Arabidopsis thaliana: one gene and its partner. The protein of the gene in region 1 interacts with the protein of each later gene in a pairwise test. Each region holds a gene or a part of one and is shown on either strand. Other genes may lie near its edges.

What was found. Proteins that work in one complex are often made in the same cells at the same time.
Region 2: the proteins of AT4G33690 (region 1) and AT4G02720 interact in a two-hybrid assay, tested with the Arabidopsis thaliana proteins (2 studies listed by BioGRID).

The regions. Positions count from the first base shown.
Region 1 is NC_003075.7:16,172,499-16,177,247, reverse strand, and holds AT4G33690 (G patch domain protein), read right to left. Parts: upstream 2,493-4,749; 5' UTR 2,311-2,492; intron 2,051-2,310; coding exon 1,882-2,050; intron 1,788-1,881; coding exon 1,505-1,787; intron 1,400-1,504; coding exon 1,111-1,399; 3' UTR 920-1,110; downstream 1-919. Other genes in the region: AT4G33700 (CBS domain protein (DUF21)), read left to right, coding at 1-42, 116-231, 311-582, 657-701; AGD2 (Pyridoxal phosphate (PLP)-dependent transferases superfamily protein), read left to right, coding at 2,618-2,700, 2,939-3,015, 3,134-3,201, 3,397-3,513, 3,798-3,860, 4,073-4,177, 4,263-4,313, 4,415-4,735.
Region 2 is NC_003075.7:1,203,020-1,207,818, reverse strand, and holds AT4G02720 (Ras-induced vulval development antagonist protein), read left to right. Parts: upstream 1-1,926; 5' UTR 1,927-2,005; coding exon 2,006-3,274; 3' UTR 3,275-3,730; downstream 3,731-4,799. Other genes in the region: WDR5b (Transducin/WD40 repeat-like superfamily protein), read right to left, coding at 1-60; AT4G02725 (spindle pole body-associated protein), read right to left, coding at 529-612, 825-966, 1,493-1,764.

The sequences.
Region 1 (4,749 bases):
AGAAATACCTGTCAAGAATGTCACGATAAGAAGGATTCCAAGGTGAAACTTCCAAATCTAAGTAACTAAGCCCCACTGAATGTGCTTCAAAAGCTGATTTCTTGCTTTGTTTTAGAGTTCCAGAAATCTTGCCTTTATATGACATATTGAACGAATTCCAGAAAGGACTCAGCCACATGGCTGTTGTTGTAAGACAGTGTGACAAAATCCACCCATTACCTTCTAAAAATGGTAAACTGCTTCATTAATCGACAAAACAATGTCTTGCTGAGTTACAAGTATTGAGAATCTTTGCTTTGGTTTCTAATAGGGAGTGTTAAGGAAGCCCGAGTGGATGTGGATAGTGAGGGAACTCCTACTCCTCAGGAGAGAATGTTAAGGACAAAAAGATCGCTTCAAAAGTGGAAGAGCTTTCCGAATCGAGCAAGTTCGTTTAAAGGAGGGTCAAAGAGCAAGAAGTGGTCAAAAGACAATGATGCAGACATCCTGCAATTGAATGGCAATCCGCTGCCTAAACTTGCTGAGGAAGAAGAAGCAGTCGGAATCATTACGATGGAGGATGTCATTGAAGAACTTCTGCAGGTAAGGAATCTTATATAAGTTAAAAACAAAAATTCTTTTTCACGGATTAATTATTGCTTGGCTTGTGGTTGCAGGAGGAGATCTTTGACGAAACTGATCACCATTTTGAAGACTCCTAACACAGAGTGCATGACCACTGAACTGGTTATGAATGTCGAAAACTTTAGTCTTTGTTTTCAACTTTCAAACTGTCACTTGTCCGGCGAATGTGTATCAATGTAGGCATGAACAACAACTTTTTCTATGGTTTCAAGATGTTTTCTCTCTATATATATATCATTGGTCTCTAAGATATGTCGCTCTCTCCTTTCTTCAAAGAGTTTTACCAAATCTGAACCCTCATAGGCCACACCAATAGTTGTCTCTACTACCTATATATCATTAGTCTCTAAGATATGTCACTCTCTACCTTACTTCAAAGAGTTTTTATTCGCATTTTACTAATACAAGAATTAATGAAATATGATCATCTTATGGATACAACATCACTGCCGGTGTAAAAAGGCAATTACTTTTGTCCGGAAAGATCTAGTCCCTACCATATTTTCTCTTCTTCCTATCCCTTTTCTTCTCTTTTGACTTGTGTTTCTTACTAAGTTTCTTCTTATGCTCCTTTCTCTTTCTATGAGCCCGTTTGTAAACTTCCTCCTCGTCGGAAGAAGAAGAATCTGTCCTACGTCTCAATAAAGGTGATCGCTCTGGCTGAATCACTAGCTTCCGATCTCCTGTATCAGAAGTTCTTGACAATTCCCTCTCAGGAAGACAGGGTAGCGGTTCATCCATCATAGCACCAACAGAACCTCTGCCACGCTTGACCCTATCATAGACCAGAATCACAAGTTTTATCAGCAAAAGCCGATCCCAAATTCGATCATTATTGTAAAGGAAATAATCAGGCAGCATCTGAGTATAATGGAAATACCTTGATTGGAGAAAAGTCTTAACCTCGACATCTCCTAAGCCTTCATCATCATCATCCTCTGATTGCCATCTTTTGCTTCTGCTCCGGCTTGATGATGGTGATAAACTAGTAGTAGTAACATTCTCATCAACTGAAGTACATCTCTTTAAAAAATCCCTCCTATTGTTCTGCTCACTTTGACCATTGCTGCTCTCATCTCTTGATTTTCTTTTGAGCCTTTCACCAAACTCAATCTCTTTACTCCGAAGACTCCACATCTCATTGGTTTCCACAGCTTTGTTTGCTGAATGGAATAAAGAAGAAACAAATAAGAGATAAACTAAAAAAAAACTAGATTTTGTTGGATAGAAGCAAAGTCTGTCAACAAAAGATTATACCTTGCTGAACACCAAGAACTGTAGCAGTGAGAAATCTAGAGTTAGGTCGATGCCTTACATTAGGCTTCTCAAGATATGCTCTGACGCCATCTTTCTCAGCTTGTCTCCTCAATTCTGCTGCTTCTCTTAAAAGAATGGAAGCTATTCGATTTTCAGTTTCCAGATCCATCTACTCCAAGGTAAAACAAAAAAGTATAAGCCTAATCAAGTTATGTGATCAAATCAATCTGGGTAGATCAAACAAAGATGGAGTTGAACTTAATTCGACCACTACAGCTATCTAAATCATTGCTTCTTAATCACAGAACTTCCACTAAAGCTACGTTCTTTCGACAACGAAATCAACGAAGCAAAACAAACAAAATTACGTAAACACACAACAATCGAAAAGGGGATTTTTGGAGAACCCTATTGGTCGAGATTAATTACCACGAAATCGAATTGACTCAGATACAGATATCTAGTAGCAGCTTCACGAAATCGTGCGATTCCTCGGCGTTTTCCAGCAGGCGCAGAGCAAAATCATTGTCCGAGCCAGAGAGAGAAATAAATAAATTGAACTGAATTGGAAAATTCCCAAAAATTTCTAGTAAAACCGAACCGGAACAAACCGGATTAATTTCCTCTCAGACCAAACCGAAGAAGAACCCTAGTTTTATCAGTCTCACCAACTATCTCCCATGGTTCATTTGCTCTGCAAATTTGTCTGAAAAAATCTTTGTGCGAAGCAGGAAAAATGTCGTCGACCCATCAGTTAGTTTCTTCGATGATCTCTTCTTCCTCATCCACTTTCTTAGCCCCTTCAAATTTTAATCTCAGGTGCGTCGTTTTGTTTTCTTTTACTCTCTGTTTGCTACTGATATAATCTAGTGAGGATGAATATGAAATTGGATTCATTTCCAGAAATTAATTGTATGTTATGAATTTACTTGGAAATTTCAATCCTTTGGTTTTTAAGTCGATGTTGGATGGTGTTGTTTGGCCAGAGAACAGTGCATTTGCTTGTGATGATCATTGATTCATTTTTTTATTGGTTTGCTTTCCTTTTTGGCTTCAGAACTCGAAATGCTTGCTTACCCATGGCAAAACGGGTCAATACTTGCAAATGTGTTGCTACGCCGCAAGAGAAGATCGGTAATGTTCCTACTCCATGTTGTTTTTGCTGTAATGATTAGTAACATAGTTAATGATTTATCGTCTTTTAGCTGTTTATCTGTTTCTTACAATACATGATTTTGTTTTCTGTATGTAGAGTATAAGACCAAAGTGTCACGGAATTCAAACATGTCCAAACTTCAGGCTGGATACCTATTCCCGGAGGTTTGTTACCTGTTACTCTCTTGGTACTACTATTTAAGATTTCAAATACCTAAAGGAGTGGCATTTCAAGTTAACATTTTTGAAAGCTTCTAGTGATCTGAAATATTATAACTATCTGTGTAATAAGTTAATATATCCTCATTGATTCTGTATATAATGCTCCTCTCTCTTATTTTTTTGTGTGGATGCAAACAGATTGCAAGAAGAAGGTCTGCACACTTGTTGAAATATCCAGATGCACAAGTTATAAGTCTTGGAATAGGCGACACAACTGAGCCAATTCCTGAAGTGATCACTTCTGCTATGGCAAAGGTACCTCCTTATCTTAACTTAGCTTCATGTGCTCTTTGCCCTTCTCTGGGCTCTAGCATATTTTAAACTGATTTTACTAACACTGCCCTAACATGTATTATTTCGTTCATTTTGACAAAAATGTATAACATATTTTCTGTTTTGGCGTATTTGGATTATTAAACGAGAACTTCTCTGTAATCTAACAATGAAAATTATTCTGGTAGCATAGTTTTTTTGTTTGCTATACTATTCACACAGGCATGTAATCTCTAGAGATTAATCATGTTTTTTTTCTCTGACAGAAAGCTCATGAGTTGTCAACAATAGAGGGATATAGTGGTTATGGTGCTGAACAAGGTGCAAAGGTCAGTGCACCCTTCATTTCCACCTTATTGCGTTGTTATCATTTCTTTATTATCTGCCTTTGCACGTCACTTCAATTTTATTATGGATAGTCTTGAACTGCTGCTAAATTCAAGAGAAGATGGATTTAAACCTGTTTCTTACATGTAAAATCTTAAAGCTTAATCTGTTAAGTTTTTATCCAAACTAACCTTGATTTCACATATGTGAAAAGCCACTGAGAGCTGCTATTGCGAAAACATTCTACGGTGGCCTTGGCATAGGGGATGATGACGTTTTTGTTTCTGATGGAGCTAAATGTGATATCTCACGTCTCCAGGTTTGTTTTATTGCTGACTATTCATCTGTAATTGATACAAGATTAAGAAATATGAACAGCTGTTTCTTGATTCCACTTCTTGCAGGTTATGTTTGGTTCCAATGTTACAATTGCTGTTCAGGATCCTTCATATCCGGTAATTGGGCATATAGAAACCAAATTGCAGTTGTAGTCTTCTCTACTTTTGCTCCATTTTAACGTGGAACTATGCTGTCTCGTTTTTTTTGGATTATACAGGCTTATGTGGACTCCAGTGTTATTATGGGTCAGACTGGGCAATTTAACACTGATGTGCAAAAGTATGGAAACATCGAGTACATGAGATGCACTCCAGAGAATGGCTTCTTTCCCGACTTGTCCACCGTTGGCAGGACAGATATAATTTTCTTCTGTTCCCCAAATAACCCTACGGGTGCTGCTGCCACGAGAGAGCAACTAACGCAGTTAGTTGAGTTTGCAAAGAAGAACGGTTCTATAATAGTGTATGATTCCGCCTATGCAATGTACATGTCTGATGATAACCCACGATCCATCTTCGAAATCCCTGGAGCAGAGGAGGTAATAGACTGATT
Region 2 (4,799 bases), about 15 Mb from region 1:
GTTACCGGTGGAATTCGCGTTAGCGACTCCGTTACTTGTTCCGTTACCACCGCTTGGCATCGTCGTCTCTCGTCGGATTTAGCAGAGTGGAGATGATCTCAATGAATCTCTCACCGTTACATATATATACATTCCGTTGACCATGACCTCTTGGGAATTACATTTTTACCCTTCATTCCTCATTTCTCGTATTGGTGGTTCTTCGGCTCGGTTCGGTTCGATTTGAATTTGTCGATTTTGTTGAACTAAAATTGGTCCGGTTCGTTTGGTTTATTTAGTTCGAAGGCACTTTATTCGGTTGGTTTCAGTAATGAGGTTTCGGTATATTTGGGTTAATTTCGGTTTGTATAATCGGTTCAATTCGATTTTAATGCCCACTACATTAGAGGACTCTGAAATCAAGATTTATGTATCCAAACATCTGTGAATGAAATTGAGATAAATCCATAGATGATGGTTATATTATACACACAACAGAAGGGAAGATTTATGCAAGAAACGAATGTAATTTTGAACATTGAGAAGATCCTATGAAGGCTTGTTTTTGCCGTAAATATCTTCAAAACCATCAGCTACTCGTTTCCTTCTTTCAGCAATCATTTCTGAATACGACTGAACCAAAGTACACGAAAAAACCACCAGAATCTCAAAGACAAGACCAAAGTAAAGTCTTGTTCACTAAGATTATAGAAACTAGCATTGTCTGAAGATGTTTAAACAGGATTTTTACTTTAACTTAGACTTAGTAAATTAGAGCTACGAACATTTCTTTAGTAAGGGAATGAAAAGGAGAGGTTGTTAGATGATGGAAGGGAAAATCATACCTTTGGGTAGCTATAAAGGAATATGTACCACCAAGCACCAATTACACCAACCGCAAGCGATGAAACTATGACCGAGTGTAGTATTACCCAGCTACATGCCACTATTGATAGACCCGTTAACATTATCGTCCATGGCTGACACCTGAGAAACATAGCCAGTTGCTTATTCAAAACCATACGGAAGAACACTAGGCCCTGAAAACGTCTAAGAAGAACCGTAAAGTTCTTGATTGCAAATACACACCAGATCAATAGATATTCAAAGCTGTAGATGCTGAGGTCGAAATGTTAAACCCTTCTTAACCCAATTACCATTACATAATCTGTATTTTGGTTCTTCACTATCTTCCTAACCAAAAGATTCAAACTTTTTCTTTCTATCTTCTAAACCACAACACACAATCATGAAACTGTAATGGGGTAAGTCTTGTTTTAAGTAGCATCAATAAATATATAGCTTCATATATGATTCAAAAAAGTTCTTGGGCAGGCATAAATCACTGAAAATGCTAATAAAGATTAAGGATTGGTCCACTTAAAAGTGAACTTAAGACTCTATCTAAGCTATAATCCCATATTCACAACCAACAAATACGATTCCTCATAAGTCTTAGGACCAAATCCAAACTACTTGAAATAAAATTGTTGGGAACTTAAATGAGATTTACCAAGAGGGTTTAGTGTCCCAAACAGAGTCGTATTCGAGAGAGAGATTGTCTAAGAAACCTTCCATGTCATCAACTACGCCTTTTTCATCGACAAATCTTGAATCCTTCGGCTCTCTCCGATTCCCACCAAAACTTCTAACTTTCGTACTAATCCTTATTGGTTTGAGATTGAACGAGTGTAAGTTCGTTCGGAAACTGAGTTTTGAAAGAAGATTCTCTGTTTGAGGCCGAAACGGCGACAGAGACACGGCGGACATGGAGAGACTTGCCATCTGAAGACGACGATAAGGATAGAGGACTCGATTGACTCTAATTAAAATGTGGGGTGCTTTGTGTAAAATCAAAACATGATTTTCAGTGGTGAATAATGATAAATATTGGGCCTATTCGTTAAGGGCCCAATAAGTAAAAAGGCGCAGATACTGTATATGAATCAAAGCCCTAATTTATCAGACAGCTGCTTAGATTTTGTTTTCTTCATTGTCGTCGTCGGAGTGAATTAGGGATTCGAGAATGACGATGAACTCGCTTCCGAGGAGATTTGGGAAGAATCATGGCTATTTGGATCGAGATTATCGAAACGGAAGACGATCTGGTTCAGATTCCGATGAAGAATTGAAGGGATTGAGTCACGAAGAGTATAGGAGGCAGAAACGGCTTAAGATGAGGAAATCAGCCAAGTTCTGCTTTTGGGAGAACACACCGAGTCCACCTAGAGATCAGAACGAGGATTCCGATGAGAACGCCGACGAGATTCAGGACAAGAACGGCGGCGAAAGAGATGATAATTCGAAAGGGAAAGAAAGGAAAGGTAAATCTGACTCGGAATCTGAATCTGATGGTTTGAGATCTAGGAAGAGGAAGAGTAAGAGCTCGAGGTCTAAGCGCAGGAGAAAGAGATCTTATGACAGCGATAGTGAATCCGAAGGGAGTGAGAGTGATTCGGAAGAGGAAGATAGGAGACGAAGGAGGAAGAGTTCTTCTAAGAGGAAGAAGAGTAGAAGCAGCCGTAGTTTTAGGAAAAAGCGAAGTCATAGGAGAAAGACGAAATACAGTGACTCTGATGAGAGCAGCGATGAAGATAGTAAAGCTGAGATTAGTGCTTCTTCGTCTGGGGAGGAAGAAGATACCAAGTCAAAGAGCAAGAGGCGGAAGAAATCTTCGGATTCTAGTTCAAAACGAAGCAAGGGAGAGAAGACGAAGTCAGGGAGTGACAGCGATGGTACTGAGGAAGATTCGAAGATGCAAGTAGACGAAACGGTGAAGAACACTGAGCTAGAACTTGATGAAGAAGAGTTGAAGAAGTTCAAAGAGATGATTGAATTAAAGAAGAAATCTTCAGCTGTTGATGAAGAGGAAGAAGAAGGTGATGTTGGTCCAATGCCATTACCTAAAGCTGAAGGTCACATCAGTTATGGTGGTGCTTTAAGACCCGGTGAAGGAGACGCCATTGCACAGTATGTTCAGCAAGGTAAACGTATCCCACGTAGAGGAGAAGTGGGTCTTAACGCTGAAGAGATTCAGAAGTTTGAGGATCTTGGTTATGTGATGAGTGGAAGTAGGCATCAAAGGATGAATGCTATTCGTATTAGAAAAGAAAACCAGGTTTACAGTGCTGAAGACAAACGGGCATTGGCCATGTTTAACTACGAGGAGAAGGCGAAGCGCGAGGCTAAGGTTATGTCTGATCTGCAGCGGCTTGTGCAGCGCCATATGGGAGAAGAGGTGGGGCCAAATCATGACCCTTTCGGTGCTGGAAAGACTGAAGAAGATGATGATTGATTTTGCTTGGCTTCCTGCTTCTGTTATGTGGGTACTCATCTTATGCTTTATCTTGTTGAATGTTCCTTATTTGCATCATAGATACTGCTGTTTGCTACTTGCCCGTTAATGAGCTTCGTAGTTTATGCTTTAATCTGCTATGTATCCGTTAATGAGCTTCATAGTTTATGCGTTAATCTGCTATGTATCACATGATTGTGTTTGTGTGTCAAAGATAATAGATTCTGACACTGAGGATCTGCAACCGTTCTTGTGCATTTACCTTAGGTCATGTTCGATGATTGAATTTTGCAGGGCATTCACTTAGTTCTGAGATTGTAGAACAATCAATTATTTAGGATATCCGCTTTGAGCCCACCACTGTATTTTCGAATAATGTCCTTTAATGAGCTTCACAGATTATGCATTCCTCCCTCTGTATTCATATCATTGCGTTTGTCTGTTAAGAATCCAGTCATATCATCATCAATGTTATCATTGTCACCATTATTATCATCATTCTATTTTTAGAACTGTGAAACAAAACAAGTACTTATATATATTATTGGGGATCTCTATAATTGTGAAGTGCAATAATTTCGGAATTTGGAGGCAGATAAAATTTGCAATAATATCCGAATTTGCAGGCAGATCATATTATTGGTAAATTACCTGCAAGGGTTCCAATTATAGTTTATGATTCCACTTTTGTGGAACTATACAATGTCTGAATCTGTTCTCAATAAATGCACTATCTCAATAGAAGACCCTACCAAGTACCTAGTCCATAATCTATTATTCGTTTCATAAATAATAACATATAAATCATTCAAAGAAGCAAAATGATTTTGGTTAAGAATTGAATGACAAAGAAAACGACATCTGTTCAATTTAGAGGAGATTAGCATTTTCGTATTACTATTCAAAGCTTAAAAATAGTATTTAAAAACAAAAAAATTATCAAAGAAATGTCATGTAAAGGTCCTCTTCTCATGCACGAAACGAATGATAATTAAATTAATTTATGAGCAAGACGCTTAAGTGATCCTTAATTGCTTTGTTTATAAAATAGTTTAATTATTATTACTCTGCTCAAGTAAAGAACGTGAAGGACAAAATGGTAACTGAATATAGTAAAGGGTATTAATGTAATTTCAATTCAGCAGACTCATGAAGTAACTGTGCCTACTTAAAGACAACTGCTCTGTTCTCTCTCTCTCCTTCGTCTCTATCAAGCTCATTTCTCAGATCCGTAGGATCTTCATTTCCATGGAGGCTTAAAAACCCTAGAAGATATTCTTTTACACATCACTCATCCGCTAGTGAAGATAAAAATCATTTCTAGAGCTTCCTCTTTCTCTCTCTGTATGATCTGAAGCGAATCGTCTTTAGATTCTTCACCAATCACTATCAAAAGGACCTCTTTTTAAAGGTGAATTTCTCTATGGAAGCTGTCTTATATGTTCCTTTTTTCAGGATCTGATCTTTTCATTTCGCTTTGTTTCTTTGTATGTGATGATTTACTTGGTTTTCCCCCATTTCTCTG